Rhinolophus ferrumequinum: one gene and its partners. The main gene of each other region encodes a partner of the protein of the gene in region 2 in a complex. Links are inferred from orthologs where the notes say so. Each region holds a gene or a part of one and is shown on either strand. Other genes may lie near its edges.

Region 1 (7,622 bases), on a different chromosome or scaffold from region 2:
AACCACTGTACTCTGGGCTTATAGTAATTTAGTGGTTCAGTATTTATGATATTAATATGTTGTTTTCACTTCTAAGCTATAGTTTTACCTTCTTTTGACTACTATGTTATGTTTTAAAACCATTTAAATTGCTAACTTCCAATGTAATTGAAGGACTAGAAGCATCTAGGAAGGTTTAGACACTAATTAGGTCAACATATAGCCAGCCATAAAAAATACAGCACCGTGTTCTTTAAAAATAAAACCAGTTGTTCCTGTCTAGTATGTTTAGAATGCAAACGACTCCAAAGTCAGTCAACTTAAGTCATGACAGTTCATGTTTAAAGCAAGCAGGAAGTAACTTGGAGCTCCATATTAAAACTTTACTTACAACTTTAAAGACAGACTTTTACATCTATATTATTTCTTTTCAGTATCTAGAATCCATTGCCATGTTAAATTCTAGTGACTAGATTTATAGGAAATACTGTATGTCAAAGTTTGTATAAAATTATAAATTAAATGGTTAAAAAACATGGCCCAAATAAGATACTTATGAACAGATACTTATTCAAGACAGTTTTTGCCATAATTTGCAAGGCATCCAGAAGCCTTGAGTATGGGTTCTATATAAATAGAAACTATTTGTTATTCAGAGGAGGCAGTGCAAAAAAAGCTGTTTTCTTTCTAAACACTCTCTAGTGTTGAGGTAAACAAATGAAAAAAAATATAGTTTAAGCACACTGGAGCAGAACAACAGTCTCTAAGTCATAAAAGGGGGAGAGAGAAAAAATGTCTGTGCTCTAACATTTTAAACGGGACTGGGAGTTTAAAGTGAAATTTATTCCCTGGCTTTTAGATCGGATTCATTACTTCTACATTTTCCCTGTTATGTCTGGACTCCCACTTCACCATAGTAGGAAGAGGAAAACATGTGCCCCCAAGATTCTCATGCCAACAAAACTATCATACTTTTGGAGGCAGTAAAGCTCACCAAATGAAGGAGAACAATAGAAAAACACTAAGTGACAGACAATAGTAGAAACTGAACTCTCTCAACTACCAACCGATAAATACTGGCACATATTAATGTAAAAAGCACAAAAAATATCGCAAACTAAGCAAATATTAAAGTGTTGCAAAAGTTTCAAAGCTCATAAAAGACTTGGAAAAAACTAGAAAGAAATGAAAGCACTGTGAAAGAGAGGCCCTGAAAAGGAAGACCAGCTTTGAAGGAAAACGCAGGTCAAAAGGAGGAAGGGGGGTTTCTTCCGATCATCCCTCTAATAGCGTCAGTACTACCCCCAAGAAGCAGTTTTAGGCGCATCCTTAGGGAAAGCGCTTTAGGCAACGAGCAAAGGTGCTCTGAGACAGAACTACAGAGATGCTGCTGAAATTTCAAAGAGATGCACTAGCGAGAGAGCACAGGCACGAAATCCCCAAACCATACTTTCCAAGCTTTCAGTAGTAAAATATCAATCCTTCTTAGACACATAAGCCACCACTTTTGAAACTTGACCCCGCAAAGTCTTCAGCAAGGACCTCACTAGCTCGCAAACCCTCCTCCCTCCACTTCCCTGACGTTCTTTCCTGGCACACAAAATATAGGCCAGTGAGCGGTGGGTGGGTGAGTGAGGAGGATGTGAGAGAAAATTTGAGAAGTAAAAAAGGGAGCAGCGTAACCAGGACATGAAGAGACTGCAGGGTCTGTTAAGGGGAGGCAAACAATCAGGACAACTGAAAAACAGAGCAGGCTTTCCTGGCTAGCAGCGATCGCTCGTGTTTGCAGGAGTTTAAGCAAAGGCCAGGCTACCTACCAGTTGTCAGAGAAGCTGCAGAGGGGACGGCTGCTGTGATGACCTCTAATGTCTCTTCCGACTCTGAAATGTTAGGATTCTTATTTCACAAAAGAGAACACACTCGTCATAGAAGCCCACGGACCTAGAACCCTTGTAAACTACAGCGGCCCAGGCGGCTGCTTCGCAAACACCACTCCCACCTCTCCCTCCCACATGTGCCCACCCCGCCCCCTTTCAATATTTCCACCTCCACGTGCGAAAGGCCTCGCGGCACTCGCCCTAAAGCGGCCCGGCGCCTTCCTCCACAAAGTACTACAACTAGGCCTCCCTGGGGGAAGTGAGGACTCCACTCTCCCACCCTGGGCGGCTGAAAAAGGGAAAGTCTCAAACCCAGACTTCTTCTACAGCCAGAGCTGAAGGGGGAGGGGGCGGGACGCAGAGGAAAACTTTCTTTTAAAATTTTTGTTCCAGATAGAGAAAAGTGTAGAGAGAACCCCGAGGAGAGCGGGGCTGAGGGGGTGGGGGGAGGGGAACCCCCTGGATCGTTTAACGGCCGGTAGGGGGAGGGGAGCTCCGGAGGTTGAGGGGGCGTGGGATGGAGAAACAGGCCTGGGAGCCGGGTCAAGGAGCTGCAGGACTTCCTAGGGTCGGGGAGCTGCAAGCGTCCCCCCCACCTGGTACACAAAGCGGCTGCCGCGCTAGGCTCTCACCAGATCCTTTGTGTTTTCCATCAGGGCCTCATGGGTAGGGGTTGTCCGTGCTCCCCGGGCCGGCGGCGCCCTCTCCCCGGGCTGGGGTCAGGCGCCTCTCCCCGGGACTACGGCGACTACAGGGGTGCCCTGGCTGGGCCCAGACCGGTGGCGGCTGCGGCAGCCCCCGGATTTCCCCCCTTTAACTCGGGTGGCCCCAGGATATCAACAACATTAGCATAGCCCTCCCTCCCCAGCGCGCCTGCGCCGTGACCCGCGCCCCGATTGGCCCACTTCCCTACATACCCTCCTCTCTCTCTTCCAGCGTGGGACCCTCTGCAGGCTCCGTACTCCAAGGGCCGTACCAAGACGGAGGGGTGGAAAAGGCAATTGAGGCTCGTGTTAAGTCGAGTGGTCAAAAAGTCAGGAGAAAGAGAAGTTTCATTCAGTCATCTTAGTTTATACTCTGGCTTTCTTGTGCTCCTTTCAATCAGTTGAAGCTGCTAAGTTGTGTTGGAAAAAATTTTCCACTCCAGTCACGCCGCCTCCCCTTCCACCCGGAAGATTGGTCCTCCCGGAGGAACTCCCATACGGGGAGGGGCTCGTGAGGGGAGTGGGCGTTACGTAGGGAAAAAGAGTGTTGGTCACGTGCTAGCAGGCTGCGCAGGCTCCTTCCCTCCCGCCGGGGCCTCAGCTACAGTGGCTAGACAGGCGCTTCGGCGCACGCGCAGTGAGGCTCCACGTGAGTACCTGCGTTTCTTCTCAAAGCTAACGATGCCGCCTGAACGGGGCACCCGAACGAGACCGGACCGGAGAACCGGAACGAGGTTGAACCAGAAGACTCGAATGAAGCGGGATCGGAGAGCCGGAGCGGGGCCGGACGGGCCGCCCCGAAAGGCTGCTCCTTCATCCCAGCGGAAACCGCTGACTCGGCCGAGAGCAGCGGCCGCTGCGATCGCAATCGCCGTGGAGGAGGAGAAACGGCTCCGGCAGCGGAACCGCCTGACGCTGGAGGAGGACAAGCCAGTAGTGGAGCGGTGCCTGGAGGAGCTGGTCTTCGGCGACGTCGAGGACAATGAGGACGCGCTGCTGCAGCGTTTGCGAGGCCCACGGGTGAGGGAGTCCGCGGCGAGCGGGCTGGGCGCGCTCGGGTGGGGCGCGCGCTGGGCGGCAAGCCTCCGGGGACGGAGTCTAGGCGACCTGCGACGCCGGGGAGCTCTCAGGTGGGAGGGAGCCCGAGAACGCGGGCGCCGACGGGGCTCAAACGGAAAGTCTCGGGAGGGCGGAGACCGCGCCTTTCTCCGCCCCCGTGGGAGCCTCTGCGCCTAGTATCCAGCAGGCGCTCAACACGTATTTGTTTAGCGAACTGGGTCATGCGCATCTTTGGTGATTCAGCCCCACTATCCTCAAACTCAGTGTTTTTTTCCTTGTGTTCGGACGATCGCCTGCCTCGGTACCTTGCGGTGATTCAGGAGTTCCACTTCGTTTGTGGAATCTGAATTCGTGGGCACGGGCCTGGGAATCTGCCTTTTAACATCTCCCCAAGTGATTGACTCGCCAATCTTTGAGAATGACCACGTATTCGTTTTTTCAAGTATTTGTGAGCCTATCGGGTACTAGATACTTTTCCTGGTTGTAAAAACCCTGAGTTGTTATAATTTTTGCACTTTCTCTCATCCTTTTTATTATATATCTGGAATTTTTCCGAAGATAGTCCCAGGCATTGTTCTAGGCATTGGAGGAGAAACAGCAGTGGATAAAAATTGACAAAAATCCCTGCCTCCTGGAGTACTAGTGGCAGAGGCAGAAAATAAAGGAGATAAGTACTTCTGTAAAACTCAAGTATGTCAATGACTAGTCCTGAAAAGAAAAACATTAAAGCACTTGAGAAAAAGGAGATAAGTGTGTGTAGAGAGAAGGTCTGTGACATTTTACTTAGGATGGTCAAATAAAGCCTCACTGAGAATTATGCAGTCTGGCAAATGAACGTGGACCTAGCAAGTATCAACTGATTGATTGCCAGAACCTCCTTTGGGTGCTTACGGATGAAGCTGCAGAAACTTAGTAGGGAATCAGAGAACTACTACTGGAAAAGTGCTGAACTGTGTGACAGTTTCCTAGTCAGGAAAAGAAACAGTCCACATGAAGTGGGATTTGTTGGGTTTTGAAGGATAATAGGCTGGTAACAGCAAGTAGAAATCATTTGGACATTTCTATCGTGGTTTTGGGAAAGCTCAAGCTCACTTTAGGGAGTACTCTGTGGTCTACATTTAGACTTGATAGTACAGTATAAAGTTTGAAAAGGTAGGGGATCAAGAACGATTAAGAAAAATGGAGAAGAGGTATGTCTAAGAATATGAAATATGAGTTAACTATGATATTCAATTATGTTATTTTATTTTTAAAGATTTTGTTGGGGAAGGGGAACAGAAATTTATTGGGGAACAGTGTGTACTTCCAGGACTTTTTTCCCAAGTCAAGTCGTCCTTTCAATCTTAGTTGTGGAGGGTGCTGTTCAGCTTCAAGTTGTCCTTTCAATCTTAGTTGTGGAGGGCGCAGCTCTGCTCCAGGTCCAGTTGCCGTTGTTAGTTGCAGGGGGCGCAGCCCACCATCCCTTGGGGGAATCGAACCGGCAACCTTGTGGTTGAGAGGACGCTTTCCAACCAACTGAGCCATCTGGGAGCTCAGCGGCAGCTCAGCTCAAGGTGCCGTGTTCAATCTTAGTTGCAGGGGGCAGAGCCCACCATCCCTTGCGTGACTCGAGAAATTGAACTGGCAGCTTTGTGGTTGAGAGTCCACTGCCCATGTGGGAATCGAACTGGCAGCCATCGGAGTTAGGAGCATGGAGCTCTAACCGCCTGAGCCACCGGGCTGGCCATGTTATTTTATTTTTGATGCTAGTTTGCCTCTGGTCCCTTAATTTCTGGAGTTCCTGGTCTCCCGCCCCCCCCCCCCCTTTCTTTATCGGTCATCTTCCTTTTGTTGTTCTTGTCTTACTTGGTGTTTTCCTGTGAGCATGTAGACTTTCACTCCTTGACTGTTCCATCTTACCTCACCTGCTCAGCCTGTGGTGCCATTCTCTAATCTTATTTTCTATTCTGTCTTCAGCATTTCCTGTGATAGCATTCTGTCCTATTTCATCAGAGGGTTGTAAAAGCAAACCATTCTACAAGCCATTTGACTTCAAGATGTGTGTGTCTGCCACCATTGGATGTGAAAAATTCAGTGCTTGAGATCGTTTTGTCTTCTCAAGGTTCAAGCACTGGAAGACTCAGGTGACTCTGAAGTGGAGAATGAAGCGAAAGATAATTTCCCACCTCAAAAGAAGCCAGTTTGGGTGGATGAAGAAGATGAAGATGAGGAAATGTAAGTTGCCTAACTTTTCTTCCAGAATCCCTCTGAATACTTTCAAAATTATATTGCACATTTTGTAAAAAGTTCTCTTTATGAATATGTGATTATGTGAAGATTTGAAAAATAATGGGAAAGTATAGGAAAGGTCATTCTTAATCCAGCCACCGAGGTAGAACCACTATCAACATGTTGGCCCTCTCCTCTTCTTCGCAGTCTAGACTTGCGTTTGCCTCCTGATTTGACCAGTTCCTAACTGACCATGGACAAGTTTATAAAATGGGAATGATGATAGTAATTGTGTCAGAAGGCTTTTGAGATTAAACGAAATAGTGTATGTAGAGCTCTTAGCATAGAACCTGAAACCGAGAAAAGGCTAAAAAAAGTTAGCTAATAACACACAATATGTACTTGGATAAGAATGAGTATATCGCACACCTTTCTCCTCACTTTAAAAAAACCTGTATAAACATTTTTAAATGGATGTGTTATAGTTCATGTATGAATTAACTATAATTTCCATAGCTAATTAACATATTTGTCTCCTCATATAGTTACCTTTTTTGTGTTGAGAGCACCTGAAACCTATTCTCTTAGTAAATTTGTAGTATACAATACGGTATTATTAACTGTAGTCAGGCTGTATATTAGCTCTCTAGGCTTATTCATCCTACATAACTGCAACTTTGTAACTTTTGACCAACGTCTCCCCATTTCCCCCACTTCTCCACCAGTGGTAACCACCATTCTACTTTATGCTTCTATGTGTTTTACTTTTTTTAGGTTACACATACAAGTGAGATCATTCAGTATTTTTCCTTTGTACCTGTCATATTTCACCTAGCATTATGTCCTCCAGGTTCATTCATGTCACAAATGGCAGGATGAGACTGTTTCTTAATGATCTTCCTATATCAACTCCTTATATACTGAGAATTTCAGACCTTGATATGTCAAATTTATTGTAGATTTTCTCCCAGCTTTGTTTGCCTTTTAATTTTGTTGTTAATGTTGTCAGAGTAGTTAAATTTTTAGATAGTCAAATCTGTGAATTTTTTCTCCTTTTTTTGTTGTTGTTTTTAACAGTAAAAAGTCCATCAGAGAGAGAGAAATGTTTGCCTATATTCTTCCTTCATAGTATTTTAAGGTTTGGGTTTTTTTTAATATATTTAATTCTTTGTTTTACCTAGAATTTATTTAGGTGAATGGCATAAGCCACGTCTAGATAAGTCATTATGAATTGGAAATATTAGTTCTTCAAAGAGTAAACTGGATGATCTGAAATATTGGAGACTCCTTGCTGTTTTGGGAAAAATGGAGAATGTGTGTCTGAGATGGTTCAGGTCTTATAAATCTTGATATATATATTGTTCAATTAAATATTTTCTCTAACTACTAAAGGCAACAACTATTTATGTTGGTTCTTTAAAAGTCATTTAAAGTACGCTCTTCTGTTTTTTATAGGGTTGACATGATAAGCAATCGTTTTCGGAAAGATATGATGAAAAACACCAGTGAAAATAAACTGTCAAAAGATGAGCTTCAAAAAAGACTTAAAGAAGAGTAAGTATCCTTTTTTATACAGTTTAATCAGGAGGTGTTTATAACCAGTTTATTTTGATTCACTCAGTCTTTGGCTGTAATAGCATTGCTATTGGGACAAATGATTAAATTTTAGTATTTTGGGGGAAGAGGAAATACAAGTCCAAAAATATCTGGAAAAAATTTGTAATCCCACCACCCAAATATAATCAGTGATGATATTGCTTACTTGTTTCATTTGTATATGGTAAACCATCTCTTT
Region 2 (7,215 bases):
AAACTATGGTAAAAATTACCAGGTATAGTTCACCTCACAGTTTTGCAGATACATTTTGATCATTTCATGAAATACTTTCTTAATGAAGTGGTGTATACAAAACTGTTCTTATCCAAAAACTGTCCCATCTTTCATGATCAACATAGGATTATGCTTTTTCTAAACGAGACACTCAATTAAGGTTATAGGTCACTCAACCTAAGAGACACCCCAACTAATGTGTCAAAGGCAAAAGTTTGTTTAAACTTTTTGTCTTTATAAGTAAATCATGCTTCAACAAATTATTAAAAAAAAATTTGTTTCTCTAAGGTTTAGTCAGAATTCAATTACGTTTATTTATGCTTAGTACACATTTTCTTAATTGTGTAACATGCTACTTTCAATATTGTGATTTATATAGCCACTACCACCAGCATGAGCCACAGGAATATAGAACAGCTGTTTACCTGGTACTGTTTATATTCTTCTATTAAGTTCAGTATCTATTCCTGAGGTCTATGCTTCACTGATCATAGTTTTGGTTGGATGTGAAGTGAAACAGAGGATAGAAAAAGGTAGTGAAGGGAAAAAAAAAAATCTCTTATGGCCCGCAAACAGACTCCACGTGTGTTACAAACTAATGAGATCCACTGCGCTATAAAATGTCAAAGTATTTCAGTGAAGAAAAAATTATCTGTAATATTTAACAAGCGTATTGCTACCTGAGTTGATCTCAGCTTTGATTTCAGGTTGTAGCTCTTGGTCCTCTCCAAGACTTAACTAAAGCAAGACTTAAATAAATTTCTAAAGTGTACTGTAGTGCTATCTTGCTTTTACCAGGGTTCTCCCCTTCCTTGGCTGCAAAACAAGAACTACAAATTAATTTCCAGGGCAGTGTAACACCAATACCCCAAATTTCAAGTATTATCTGTAAAACTTAAAAATAGAAACAAAAATAAAACCAAAAGACAACATTCTGCAGTCACAAGTACTTTAATTTTTAAAAACAAATCACTCATTTAAAAATGAACAAATGGCACCATTCTACTCTGTTGATACAAGTAAATTTAGAGTTCTGTCTCATAATGTGCTGCAAGTCGGTACTACATCCGACAATCTCAACTACTACATACACTTAACACTTAGCTTATCTGTAGTTAGATTTCAGACACTACTCTCAAAAGTAACATTCGACTGTCACAACTATTTTACTTTAAAAGGTTGAACAACCCAAACAGTTTAAACAGCTTTATTTTCAAAATCAACATTACAGAGCATAATTTCCACATTTAAAATTCTTACAGTTACCAATAGAGGTATTACAGTACAATTTTCCACAACAAAATTGTAGCACACAAATCCAGCGACTCCTCGACTTCCTTGAACTGTCAATACACTGCACCCTGTTTAAATGGCTGTACCTGAAAACCAAGGAATGCAATTCCTTAGGATTAGAAGTCATCAAGTTATACTGTCAAGGATCTGGGGGAAATGAGAGGAAGATTCTATTATCCTTGTGTCTAAACCCAACTTCTATAACAAGGTAAAGCCACAGCTATGATCAAATGTCTATTAGCTGTAAATATTTAAATACTGAAACCCACCTAAATTAGGTATCTCGATGTTAAGATTTCTGTGAATGAATTCACTTCAGTTCGATTCTGGATGAGAAAAGTCCCTCTTTCAAAATTTAGATCTGTAACATCTACTTAAATTGGGTGTTTTCTCTCCCCACGTTGAGAAACCAGAAAGCATGCGAACTTAAATTTTATTTTTAAAAAAACCCAATAATAATGAAGTTACATGTTTTAGAAGAGCCACGCACTCCAAAAAAAACAGAAGAAAAACCTGCAACATACTCTCAAGGATCAAAGGAAAACTCAGGGACGTTTATATATCCTCCGACTAACTAGACTTGGGAAGGGATGGATGCAAAAGTCCCAGAACGAGGATACAGAAAATGAGTCTTACATGTTATGAAAGTCAGTCGTCTGGGCAAACAAGCAGTACCCTCGACATTTCGTTGCAGGGAAGGAGATACAAGCCTCAAAGACCTACAGTCAACATTACATGCCCCTGTGAAGCTCCACGTGGGGGCCGCACTGAGCCTCACAAGCTTTCCCCGCCACCGGGAACTGAAGTACCCCTACAGGACACAGAATCTGCGCTCCCCGGCGCCGGCAGCGCGCGAAGGCCGAGGTGGCCCTAGAGCGCCACCCAGCGGCCCGCGGAGCGGCCTGCAGGCGGGTCCTCCCCGGCTCCCGGATCGCCGCACCCCCACCGCCACCCAGCCCGTTCCTCTCCGGATGCACAAGGCCCAACCCAACAACTGAGACCACAAAATGGCTGCCGGCAGCTTCGTCACGTGACCCCTTTGTGCCTTTTGGGTTCCCGAACTCCGTGGGACCCGGGTACAAGTGGCCGGGGTCGGCGGGTGGCCTCAGTGGAGACCCCGCCGGGCCGTGGCGGCTGGGGGTCGAGGCCGGGGGAGGCGGGGTAAAGGCCCGGCCGGCGACTGAGAGTCGGCGGCGGAGAGAAGATGGCGGCCATTTTGTGTGGGTTTGCTGCTCCGCCGCCGCCGCAGGCAGCAGAGGGAGCGGGGCCTGGCGGTGGGTCGGACAGGGGAGTTAACACGTACCGACTCCTCTTCCTTCTCCATTCCGGTGGGCATCTGCGGCACGGCCCGGTTTATCGAGGCGTATTCGTGCAGGTCGGGCAGATCCTCACAGCGGAAAACCGGCAGCGGCTTCGAGGCGTCTAGCGCCCGCGCCCGAAACGACAGTTTACTCATCTCAGGCGCAGCAGATACCTCTCCGCTCTGGGGAAACGGCCCCGGCCAGCGGGATCATGGAGAACCGGGGGTTCGGTCCCCACTCGCCTACCGCTGCCGGGGACTTGAGGGGCGGAGCGCAGAGCCCGCCGTCCGGGCACTAACAGCAGCCGGGAGGGTGGGAGGCTGTGCCGCTCCGCTCCTCTCTCGCTCGCTCTCTTCAATACGCCATGGCCAACATGGCGGACATTAAAACTCCACTGTGCGCTCTTCAGCCAACCCCAGCCATTCCCCACACTGCATCGCGCAGCGGCGCGGGCACGCGGGCGCGGAGGGGGGGGGGGGAGCGCGGGCTCGAGCGGGCGCCGGCACGGAGCGCGCGTCCCGCCAACCCCCGGCGCCCGCCGGCCGCGCTGTCCGCGCCTGGCTGCTCGAGGCCCCCGCCCTCTGCGGGTCTGGAGGCGGCCGGGGCGGAGTGGGCGCTCGGACGCCGGGAGCCGACTCCCCGCGCCTCCTCTCGCTGCCCGCACTCGCTCACTTTCTCACGCTCGCTCGCTCGCTCCCAGCGCCGTTTGCTGACAGGCGAAGGTGCAGGGAAACTATGTGCACCGCACGCCGGCTTTCCGAATGGCCACGGCGGGAGAATTGGCTGGGCGGCGCTATTGCCCGGGACAGGCGAGCTCCGGCACCTGTCACCCCCGCTCGCAGCCGGGATCGGGGCAGGGGCGATGCCGGAGGCCACGGCCGTGGGCGGTGGGGTTAGGAGCGGCGCTCCGGGGGCGCTGCGCACCGATGGCAGTCTGTGGGTGATACATAGTTATCGCTGCGTTTTAGGTCCTTAAAACAAAATGCAAACGAAATTAGGGGCAAAATGCTACTTCAGGTGAACTTTCGCCAGCAATTATTTTTACGTCTAAGGAAAATGGATTATAATATTTGAGAGGCTCCGCAACAAATCACTGGTCAGTTCCCACCTATCGGGCTCAATATAAACGGTTGTTACCCTACTCTGATATAAAGTAGGGGTTTTTTTTTAATCCTGCATTTTATCTACTCATATTCACTCTTTTATTACAATTGAAGCAAAGGGGATATTTATTATCAGATAAATGTTTAAGAAAAAAATTAAAGTAAGACCTTCAAAATTTTAGAGCCATTTGTAGCTCATGATTTTTGTTGGTACTGAAAGAAAATGCTAGTTCAACATAGTTAATGAATTGACACCATTTATTCTCTGAAAAACTTTATAAAATTGAATCATACAAAGATCTGTAGTGCTCCTGCCAAACCGAAAAAGAGTAAAGGAAAAGCTGTATTAGAGAGCTTTAGATGCATGTGCTAGATTGTTAATATTTGGTTTATATTACACACGAAAACGGTTATGCCCAGAGAGCTCTTTCCAGCAGAGTATTTTAAAAATCAGAAAGACTGTTTTAATGGGATGGGTTTAATCAGTTTGGCAGCAAAATTTCATATGTTCACTGAGATACAAAAATGTTTCTTTAAGTCTGCTCTTCTCCCTGGAGGCTACATAGTAAAAATAATCATTACTCAAATACTGGGTTGGATAGGAACTGTTACTAGCTTACAGCCCATAGGCACACTGCTGTCTTTCAGGCTGATTTAGCTACACCTTGGTGGGGAAGACACAAGGTGAGCAGAGACTGGAGTTCTCCAAAATTATCCTAAAACTCTAATATTGACAATTCACCTCTGTGAGGCAGAGGGATTTCCATTTATACTTCCTATACTAAGACTGTGCACTTAATCTTTCAATGAAAAACATTTATTGGGCCCTCATGGCCTAAGTATGCTGCTGGTTACTTAGCACCCATAAGGCTCCTGGAGGAGCTAGCACAGTGGGAGAAGGACCTGTGGATGGCAACTGCCACAACTGATGTGAGGCAATCGTGGGAACAGGCAGGAGTGGCACCCAATCCATGGGGAGTGGCTCTAATGAAAGCATTCAGGGAAGGCTTTTTGGAGGAGATGATATCTGAGAAAAAAATACATCGGATAAGTACGGGTTAACCTTGCAGAAAAATGAAGAGATGAAAGGTATTTTAGGCAAGGGAAGGAGCATGTGCAAAGACTCCAAGTCATGAGAGACAATGTCACAGTCTGGGATCCTCAAGAATTGTCAACTGCACTGTGGAATAAGACACCTATCAAGCCAGGTTTAACAGTTCTGAAAATTCTGGCTGAATGTTAGTACAGCAGTCCTCTTCAGCCGACTGTGTTAGATTTCTGAAAATCCTACTAGTTGAATTTGGTTGCTTGAGGAACCTAAGACTTTATAGAACAAAGTAGTCTTAAGTCATGAGTGAACCACCAAGGAAACGAACATAGAATATTTAACCTTCATTAAAATAACAGCCTACAGATAACATGTTCCACACCCTGCATTAGTAATAATGGGCACTATACAACTAAGTTTCTTGTTCCCTAGAAATTGTAGCATCACCCTCCACAGCAAGTTGAGATATATGCTTACAAATTAAGCTTGCCCTTTTTGCAGATAACATGCCTGCTAGGAGGCATCTTCTTTCTGCACTGGTTCCTCATCCAGCCTCAATGCTCTGGATTTCTGACTTCCAGGTCCTACTGGGTTCCCAAGGACCCAAAGGCTGGAGTCCCAAACCTCTTATATTCAGTTTACTTCCCTACCTTCTAAGGGGCAGGAGTGCAGCAATAAAGGTTCAGGTTTAATTTTCTTGAGCTTCCTTTATCTAACCAAAAGTTTCCTTGCACAAATGGCTAATCCTGCACAGTCTTTCACGTTAACTCCTTTTATTCCCCTAAAGTTCCCTCTTTTTCTAAGTATCTCCAACAATGGTGACATAAAATTCTCAATGGTACAAAAGATGCATACTAGCGTAAAACTGAATACACTAACCTTTCCTCAAAGGGAAAGTTTTTGTTGGGAAGGAATTTGCAGTATTTAAAATACTTTTGATTCATGCCATAAATATTTACTGAATACCTAGGCAACACACAGTACCATCATTGTAGGGGATATAAATAAAAATACTGATAAAGGTTAATCAAATGACCAGAACAAGGCAGCATGGTGAAATGCAGTCAGGGAGTTCAGAAGGAAAGCAGTCAGTTCTAGCTGGATTGATCAGACATGGAGAAGTGAGCAGGTGATGTGGTTGTGAAGAATGACTAAGATCCCAACTGGTAATGGGAATGAAATGGTAGGAGAAAGGGTAGTCATGGTCCAGAGCAACAGTGTGAACAAAATGGTGGGAGGAGGAAACTGGCAGGTGTGCTTGAAGATGAGAAAGTTTACTTGGCCAGAGTTCATAGGAAACTCCAATAACAATCCGGGTAAAACTGGTAAGAACTTGGGTGGAGGGAGTAGGAGTAGAAAGTAAAGAGACAGAAGTTTTAATGGTAAAAATGAAACTACTTATAGTATCATTACCCTGAAATGTGATTCATTTCAATTTGTATCAAATACAGAACTTCTGCTTAAACAACAAAATAGAATGTGTCAAATGCACTGCAGTTTGCTGCATATAATAAACCTGACGTATGGCTCTACATGTTAGTTTATGTCCAATATGTGCCCAAGTCCTTTTATTTCTTCTTAAAATTGTTTCTGGGATTTGACTCATTATTTCCATTCCCATTGTCTTAATCATATCTCAGTTCTCATCACGTCCTACCTACAAACAACCTCCAATCCATTTTTTAATTCATTACTTTGATAAACCTTTATTAAGCTCCTACTTTACAAGAAACTATGCTAGTACTCTCCTAATAGTGGCTAAAGGGAACCCACAGTGGCTAGTACAAGCTGTGGGTCCCTGGGACTATGAAGAACACAGTTCAAACTGCCTTCAGGGCTTCATAATGCATGCCACCAAATCCAAGTGCCCAAAACCCCACCTCCATCTGTATCCTCCCTTCCCCATGTCATTTATTTATAACTGCTCTTTATTTTGCTATTCCACAAAGCCTTTGCTTTTTTTTTTTTTTTTGGTATAGTTGTCAAAGCCTCATAATTTTGCCTCGCTGTATATCCAACAACATTTCTCATCACCACCTAAGACAAGCTCCTCATCTTTAGAAATCAGCATGTCTTTCCTGCCTCCAGGTTTTTATTCATTCCTTTCTCTCCATTCTTCCTGTCTGGCTGCAGACCATCTACTTCTACTGAAATGCTACCTTACATTTTTGAGGATTAAATAAAACAACCCATGTAAAGCATTTAGAATGGTCTCTGGCCCACAGAAAACATTCAGTAGATATCAACTATTGTTATTATCCCTCAAAATCCAACTCAACTATCACCTCCTTCATGCAACTTTCTTTGACTACTCAACCTCTCTGAGTCCTAATTTCCTAATCTGAAGAATGAGTGAGTGGGTAGGTGAATTCAAAATAATTCTTAAGCCTATACCAATGTTTTTCATCTGTGAATTCCTATTACACTTTTAATCAGTAAGAATAATAAC
Region 3 (7,899 bases), on a different chromosome or scaffold from region 2:
TTTATTCCTTTAGACCGGGGATTGGCAAACTTTTTCTGTAAAGGGCCATATCAGAACAGGTAATGAGCCAGATCTGTCCAGTGGTGTGTCGTTTGCTGAACCCTGCATTAGAGTGTCAAGAATGAAGAGAGCTTGGGCCATGTTGTAAAATACTGGTAGTATTTAGACAGGCAAGAGGGAAGAGGGAACCGTGGGCAGATGGAATAGCGGCAACAAAGCAGGACTGTGGATGGCACGTTCACGGAATAAGCATTTAGACCCAAGTAAAGCAGCTTTATCTCTGGCAAGGAGTCTCCCTAGCTGACTGCCTTTGGCTTCAACACAGCCTCCTCTCAACATTAATAGATTGTCCTATAGGTCTGTAAGATTTGAAAGGAAGGTTGCACTCAATCTATAGAGAAACTTAAATGTCAGGCTAAGAAACATGATTTTAACTTGCAGGCCGGTGCTTCTCAATCCTCTCCCTCTCCTTACTTGTCCCAGCGTTGATAATCACTGTTGAAGCAAACTAAAGTCACTGACAAATATGTCTCATCACTGAGATACAGGTCTCATTCCTCAGGTGTGTTGGGACAAAAAAACAACAGTTGGGTACTACTACGATGTATAGTGGGGAACCACTGAAGATTTGAGGGCAGAGGGAAACTGTGGGTGCGGCGTGTTGTAGAAAGCTCTGGAGGTGATTAAATGGGCTGGAGTAGAGAACATGGAGTACAGCCTAGACTTGCGGTGATGCAGATTAGGGCTAGATGGCAGCCACGTTGGAAAGGAAAGCACAAGAAAACAGTGGGGGCAGGCAAGTCGACTGGGTGGGGCGGCACCTCAAACACGTGGCTCTCTCTTCAAACAGTGATGCAGGCTAATGGGCTAATCTTTGCACACACGCTGCCAAACCAAGCAAATAAGAGACAGCTGACACTCCAAGCCAGCCGGAGTTCTATCTTGCACGGATGACCATCATTTCCTCCCAAGTGATGTCTGGGGAACAGCCTGGGAACACGCTAATCCCCTCAGCTCTAACCTGGTATTAAGTCATCTCACCACAGTCTAGGAGGTCAACTACACATTAGCTTAGGGCCTAATGGAAATGCTTTCACTCGGTTACGGATTTACTACCGTTCCTTTGGCTTTCATCGAGGGTCATTAATAGACATGACTAGGTAAGACAATGTTTTTACATCACCTACCAAACCCGTTACTCTATACGTCTTATATAAGGATGCGATTCTCCCTAGGATTGAATGCTGAATAAATCTGTGTCTCTTAAAGAACTTATATGCTTCTTTCTTACTAAAAAAGAAATTCAGGGTTTGACTGCCAGGAAACTCACAGCTAAATTTAATATCAATTGCTAGGACCATTTCAGCAAAGGCTCCTGGTACAATTACTTCTGATGTGTCTCTATTTTTGCTGTTCCTACTTTTTGTTTATATCGTAAGCCTCCTTAAATCCTTTTTGGAAGCATGATGGGTACATATTAAATAACGACTCGTAAAATGACAGGAATAGGAAAATGGCTTTTGGAAGAGGGATGAGAAAGTTCTATTTTAAACTAGCTGGTTAGGGCTATGTACGTAATGACTCTCCATCAGTCACCAAGTCCTGTGGATTCTGTTGCCTTGATTTCTCTTGAACCCTCCTGTCCATGGGTCTCTGCTCACACTGCCTCTTTCAAACCATTCTCCTCATCACAGAGCAAGCTTCTAAAGTACCAATCTGATCATCTTCTCAGTCCTCTGATGAAGAGCAAAATTCCTTAACAGTCACAAGGCCCTACACAATTTGGCCTATGCCTCACCCTCCATTCTTGCCAATTTTATTCTCCTTCATGGTCTGGAGAATCAGAGTAGATGTGTAGGTTCCAGGCCAGTGCCACAAACATGTAACTCCCTGGACTAACCTTTCTCCTCCGGGCTCCCAGGCCTACTGCTCTTCCTCCAGCCACGGCCTACTTGTCACACTGTCCTCAGCTTAAACATCATGTCCCGCAGAGATACCCATCTCGACCAACAACTCTGGCTCACATGTGTTACCATGGCACCTTATGCTTCCCTTATCACACACTATTTTAACTGACTGTTAACCCAGCGAGGTCGCCCACTGGGGTCTGGAATACAGAAGGACAAAACCGTGTTTTTAATAGTTCCCAGAGGGTTTACCACAGCTGTAGGTACTCAGCACATATTTAAAGGACGGATAGGTTCAATCAATACAGATCTCACGAGTGCCAAGCCAATCCGGACACTGGGCCAGGCACTGGGTTGCATACTGTTGAACAAAACAGACTATCTCTAACCTCACAGCACTTACAAACTAATAGGAAAGTATAAACAAGCTAAGCAAACCTAATTACAAAGAGAAATACGTTCCATGAAGGAAATAAATGAGGACACTTTTTAGGGCAGTCAAGGAAGGATTATCTTAGGAGACGTTTACACTGAGGTTTGAAAGCTGGAAAAGGAATAGGCTAAGCCTACTTTGGGGGGAAGCTTCTTTCTATACTTCAGATGCAAAATCAGCAGTGGGCCGACGAGGATATACCGCATGTCTACGAAGTGCCTGTCGCGTGCCAGACAGCAGAAGCGCGCTGAGAGATGCCACTAGAGGAATAGGAACACAGTGGGTTTCTGCCATACTCCGGGGTGCCCCAGAGAGCTCCTCTCTTCCTGCCCCGTCTAGGACTCCTATGCATCCCCCCGACTCGCCCACTCCGTCTCGAGTATCAACTGACAAGGCTCCGGTCTATTCCCCGCCCCCTTCTTTGTCCGAGGTTTCTCCCTTCAAGACTCCTCTTAGCTTTCTTCCCTCCCTCTTCCTGGGCCCAGCTCTTGCCTCCGTGAAACCCCCATAAGTCGTCTGGTAGAACTCATCTTCCTCCTCTGCCTCCAGGAGCCCAGAAAGCCGGTTCCCCGCGGTCTTCCGAGGGGCCCGGCCCCCAGCCAAACTCATAACGCCTACCGAGACTGCGCCGCCACCAGCGGCCCCTCACCCAGCGCGGTTCTCGGGGCTCGGCGCTCGACACCACTACCTGCGGGGGGCAGGCGGCGGCGGCGGAAATCGGTCGTCTGCAGGCAGAAGCAGCAGAGCGTCGAGGGGCTCCTAGTCCCGCCCCCTAGGCCAGCCCCGCCCACTCCTGCTCATACACCGCCCCCAAGCTCCCTGACCTGCGCGCAGACCTTGCCTATGGAATGATTCGACTCGGTGACACCAAGAGCCCCACTACTCTAAGTCCAAATTTGGGAGTCAACAAATTTTCATTTAGAAGAGGTCAGTCTCATTCTGCTCCAGTCCGTTTTCCACTCTGCTAGTAGGAACCTTTCTAAAAACCGAGATTTTGTCACTCTTCTGCTCAAACGTCTTTAATGGACGTTATATACAGGATAAAGTCCTTAAGGCGGAATAGTAGTGTGGTTAAAGGTAGAGCCTTAGAATCAGCCGGACCTGAGTATGAGTTTGAACTTAGGTCTTCTAGCTGTGTGACTTTGGACAAGTTGCTTTATCCCTCTGAATGTCAGTTTTTTCATCTGTAAAGTAGGACTAGTAATAATAACACCTACTTTGGAATGTTGTTAAGAAGATTAAGAGATATAATCCTTTTAAACTGCTTGGCACTGTATTTAGTGAGCTCATAGGTGTTTAGTAGGTGATAACTATGGCAAATATGGCATTTAAGAGCCTTCATAATTTGTTAATAGCATCTTCCTGCCTTTCTAGCCTCATCTCCTGACACATCATCCTATTCTAGCTTCACTTCCCTAACACCCAATTCTCTGCCATGTCTCCTGCTTTTCCTTCTTCTTAGAATCCCTTTCTTTTCCTGTCTATCTGGCAAAATTCTAATTGTACAGACCAGTGAAGTCTTCTTGCACACTCATTCCTTTTCCTAGAACAGTTCTCATAATCATGGAGATCATACCTCCTTGATTCTCTAGAATAGTTCCAATCTCAAAGAGTCTGTGGTATTGTCTAAGCCTCTGTATCAACTTCTCTTCCCATTTTTTTATTCTGAAAGTATGGTTGTCAAACCATAGCACATGCACACACTCCAAGACGGCACCTATTACATTTTATTCTAATGATTTATGTTTCTGTCTCTCTCATTAGTCTATGATCTTTTTGAGGGTAGGGACTTTATCTTCATCTGTGTATGCCAGGAAACTCTCATAGTGGGACTAAATAATTTTAACGAATGAATTAATGAAGGGCTGTTTGAATAAATTAGGTAACCATCCTCTTATTTTGCCTCTGTGTTGATCTTGGCAGCCCCTAGCCCATCCATTCTGACCTTAGGAACTGTTCAAAGATATGAAGGTCACTTTAATAAAGCTGGTGTGTGAGTGTGTGTGTGTGCTCTATTTCCTTCAAATCTGTATTCGTAGCCATATTTTGAGATCACGAAATTGTCCCCCTTTTCCAAAGTATATATTGGTGAACTCCCTTTTCCGTTTCCTTGGAGGCAGCAAGCCAACATGTCCTGCTCTGCCCCTCCTTCCACACCCTGCCACATCATTGAAGACCTGCTATGCCCGGAATGTTACTGGGCAGAGTGGCTCCATGACTCAGAGCATCCTGGGGATTGAGTGGGAGTGGGGGCAGAGACAAGGTTTGGGGAGAAAAGATGGGAGACACCCCTAGCCCAACTTTAAATGTTGCCTTCATTCATTCATATAGTCAAGAGACATGTGTTGGGCACCTACTCTGTGCCAGGCACTACTCTAGATCCTTGAGATATAAAAATAGATAAGATGTAGTCTTTGCCCTGAAATGTTCACAGTGTTATGAGGGAAACCAACAAGTTAACAGACTGACATAATACAAGGTGGTAGAAGTAACAGTAGCCATTTTCTGGTATAGAAAGGAGAAACAAAGACCCCTAAGAAGCTGCAAAATAAGGATGGATCTCTTTTTTCCGGAAGGCTGAAATAAATTTCATAGATCCAATCCCAGGGAGAAAACCCCATTTGACCTCCTGGTAAGTCAATTATTTGACTATTTCCAATTTAAAAATCAGAAACAGCTTTATCTCTACACCGGCTGATTTCTAAAATAACTCCAGAAATGATAGCAACTCCATGCCTTTTATGGAAACAAGGATAATTTATTCAACAAATATTTATTGAATGCCTATTAGCCAAATCGTATGCTAGATGGTGTGCCCACACCTGTCTATTTTTTGTACTGTTTAATTGGGTGGGGGGTATAGATGTAGGCAATCATAAAATACTTCAACACTACACAATTCCTCTGCTTTGGAATTACAAATGGCAATCCAATCATCTCAGTACCCAAAGGAGAATGAATAATCCAGCAGGTGGCAGCAGGGAAACAATTATTTTACATCTTGACGCTGGAGGGGTAGAAGGTAGAAAGGTCAATGCCTGGGGATAGTCTCTGCCTGGTCAGGTCCTAGGTTCCCTTTTGAAGACCCAGAATATATCCGGATAGAGGATAAACCAGGCCATCTTAGGGTCTACCAAACCTAGGATTTTTTTTCCATTTTCCTTCATTTATTCATTCCACAATAATGAAAGAGCCCCTACTATATGTACAGAGCCACATCAAGAGAGGAGCTGAAGATACAAGGGTAAATCAAACTGGTTGCTCTCCAGCAGTTTAATCTCTTCAGAGAGACACAGTCAGGTCTTCAATCTCCAACCGAGTTCACATCCTCCAGGGCACTTTGTTAAAACTGAGTAGGTACGAAGACTAAAATGGGGATATGCTCTGTGTATCTTCCATCCCTTTTGGAGCACAGATAAACGAGAGTTAGAGGCCAAGGGCTCAGAGCACGGGAAGATTGTGATATGGTTTGATCACTTTCCTTTTTGACAGGTCATCATTTATCATATTTACTGAACTCTGTCACTGTGCCCAGCATTGCGTTTGAGGCCAACGAAGTGTAAGATCTGTTTCGAAAGTCATTCAGAGGAAGGCAGGACACGACATGCACGCACGTTAAACTAAATAGTAAACAAAGCAGTAAAGCTGAAAGAATGCTTGGTGGCATGTGATATTTTGCGATAGTCGACTGCTTAACCTCTCCGACTTGCCCCTGGCGCTTCTATCGGGAGTTCTTCCCTGGGCTGTGAAATTGACAGGGCCCGCCAAGCCGACTCTCATCCCTATCTCAGGCGACGCAACCCAGTCCTTTCAAAGAGCCGAATGGAAATGGACCCACCGAGCCACCGTCGGGGCAGTCTGCGCCCCGGGGCGCGCACGTCTTCAATCCTTGGATTCGTTAGGGCCCGAGGGACCTGCGTCACGTAACTAGTCGCGGCCTCCGGATTGGCTGTGACCCTCTCGGGTCCTCCCTCCCCCCCCACTGAGTGGGCTGGAACGCTGGGAAGGCTGGGCGCATGCGCAGTGCCTGGATTTCACTGGCCGCCCGGAGCGGTGGAGTTGGGCGATAAACAGGCTGTGTGACTAGGGAGGAGGGGGAAGGGGCGCTCGCTCCGCGGGGACTTCTCACGCCCCCTTATTCCTTTACGTGTGATTTGGTCGGGACGTGTGGTCCCGGCCGCCGGCTTGAGCCTACTCTCTTGTGAAAGGGTAAAGTAGCTCTGGCGGAAAGCGGTTCAAGTTGCCGAGAGGGTGCGAGACGCGGGTCGTCCCCCATGCCCGCGGAATGGTGTGTCCCTGAGCTGGTCCAGGAGCCGGCCCGACGTGTCTGAGAGAGGCCCGGGAGGGGGCGGGAGGGGGCCCGCAGAACGCGGGTTCTGTGAAGAGACGTGGGGAAGATTCGACTCCGAGAAGAGGAAGAACCGGATTGAAGGGGAGCGAGGCCGTGAGGGGGAGGGGGCTGCCAAGATGGCGTCGGCCTCCTCTGGGCCGTCGTCGGGCGGGTTTTCGTCGGTGGATTCCGGGGTTCCTGGCTGCACCTCGTCCTCAGGTAATCAGGGCGGGGCGTGGGCAGGGGGCGGATGACGGCTGTGCGGTGGGAGCAAAGAGCGAGGTGTGGGAGGGCACCTGTAGCTGGGGATGTCCGAGGAGGTGCCGGTTAGGAGGACAGATGGCTGGGCTTTTCCCGTGGCTGGGCTTTCAAATAGCAGGGCTTTCTGAGCGGGCCGGGGAGTCCGAGGAAAGGATGGATTGGACTGGGCAAACGGAGGCCGTCGACAACGCTGGCTGTCTTCGAGGAGGCCGAGTTGAGGACTCGAAGGAATAGGGTCAGGAAGGGCTGGAGATGGACGGCGAGGGTTAGGGAGGAAACAGCAGGGAAACCGAAGGGAGTTGAGAAAAGTCAACGGAGGCCTCCTAAGCGGGGAGGAATCAGTGTGAGAGGCCAGCTGATTGTGTGTGGGGTGAATGGGATAAAAATATGGAAGAAAAGCCACGGGACTTAACAGATATGGAAGAGTGATGACACGCTTTCGATTGCTGGGGAGTTGAGGGAATTGGGAATTTTGTTGAGGGTGGGAGTTGCTGGAGACGTCCTTTTCCTCGGAGGCTCCCCCTAATGCGTCATTCCTTTGCGCTTGGTGCCCCCATCCTCCCACATACCCCGGCGTGTGCTCGCACAGACACGTTTTACCAAACATCCAGCCTTGACGACTCCTCTCTCTCCACTCACCGAGTTTGGGAAGGAATGAGAAGTTTTGAAGGGAGCCTGAGGGACGTGGAAAATGAGGGTTAAAGGAGCCTACTAACAGACGGAGAAGGTGGAATGATGCAGTAGAGGCTGAGAGAGGTGGTGTTGTGAAGCAGGTGTGAGGAGGACGGAGTTGGGGGGGGCTCTGAGTGCTGTGGGGAAATACTGGATTATATAATAGGAAATGGACTGCAAGAATGCTTAGGCTCTGTGAGGAAATGGGCCCTTGGAGAATGGAGCCAGGGACGACCGCGCAAAGTAGTTAGAAGCTATGGAAGATTGAGGGAGGGCTGAGGAACCCACAAGAAAAG

What was found.
Region 1: EPC1 (region 2) and MBTD1 share a complex: the UniProt entries of both Homo sapiens proteins name them as parts of the nuA4 histone acetyltransferase complex. The link is inferred for Rhinolophus ferrumequinum from reciprocal best matches to the Homo sapiens genes EPC1 and MBTD1.
Region 3: EPC1 (region 2) and VPS72 share a complex: the UniProt entries of both Homo sapiens proteins name them as parts of the nuA4-related complex. The link is inferred for Rhinolophus ferrumequinum from reciprocal best matches to the Homo sapiens genes EPC1 and VPS72.

Annotation. Positions count from the first base shown.
Region 1 is NC_046304.1:32,514,311-32,521,932, reverse strand, and holds the start of MBTD1 (MBT domain-containing protein 1), read right to left. Parts: upstream 3,038-7,622; 5' UTR 2,774-3,037; intron 2,723-2,773; exon of another isoform or gene 2,489-2,722; intron 1,860-2,488; 5' UTR 1,797-1,859; intron 1-1,796. UniProt on the Homo sapiens protein: Chromatin reader component of the NuA4 histone acetyltransferase complex, a multiprotein complex involved in transcriptional activation of select genes principally by acetylation of nucleosomal histones H4 and H2A.
Region 2 is NC_046288.1:3,683,519-3,690,733, forward strand, and holds the start of EPC1 (enhancer of polycomb homolog 1), read right to left. Parts: upstream 3,058-7,215; 5' UTR 2,771-3,057; coding exon 2,618-2,770; intron 1-2,617. UniProt on the Homo sapiens protein: Component of the NuA4 histone acetyltransferase (HAT) complex, a multiprotein complex involved in transcriptional activation of select genes principally by acetylation of nucleosomal histones H4 and H2A.
Region 3 is NC_046305.1:51,233,093-51,240,991, forward strand, and holds the start of VPS72 (vacuolar protein sorting-associated protein 72 homolog), read right to left. Parts: upstream 3,050-7,899; 5' UTR 2,950-3,049; coding exon 2,833-2,949; intron 1-2,832. Other genes in the region: PIP5K1A (phosphatidylinositol 4-phosphate 5-kinase type-1 alpha), read left to right, coding at 6,808-6,889. UniProt on the Homo sapiens protein: Deposition-and-exchange histone chaperone specific for H2AZ1, specifically chaperones H2AZ1 and deposits it into nucleosomes.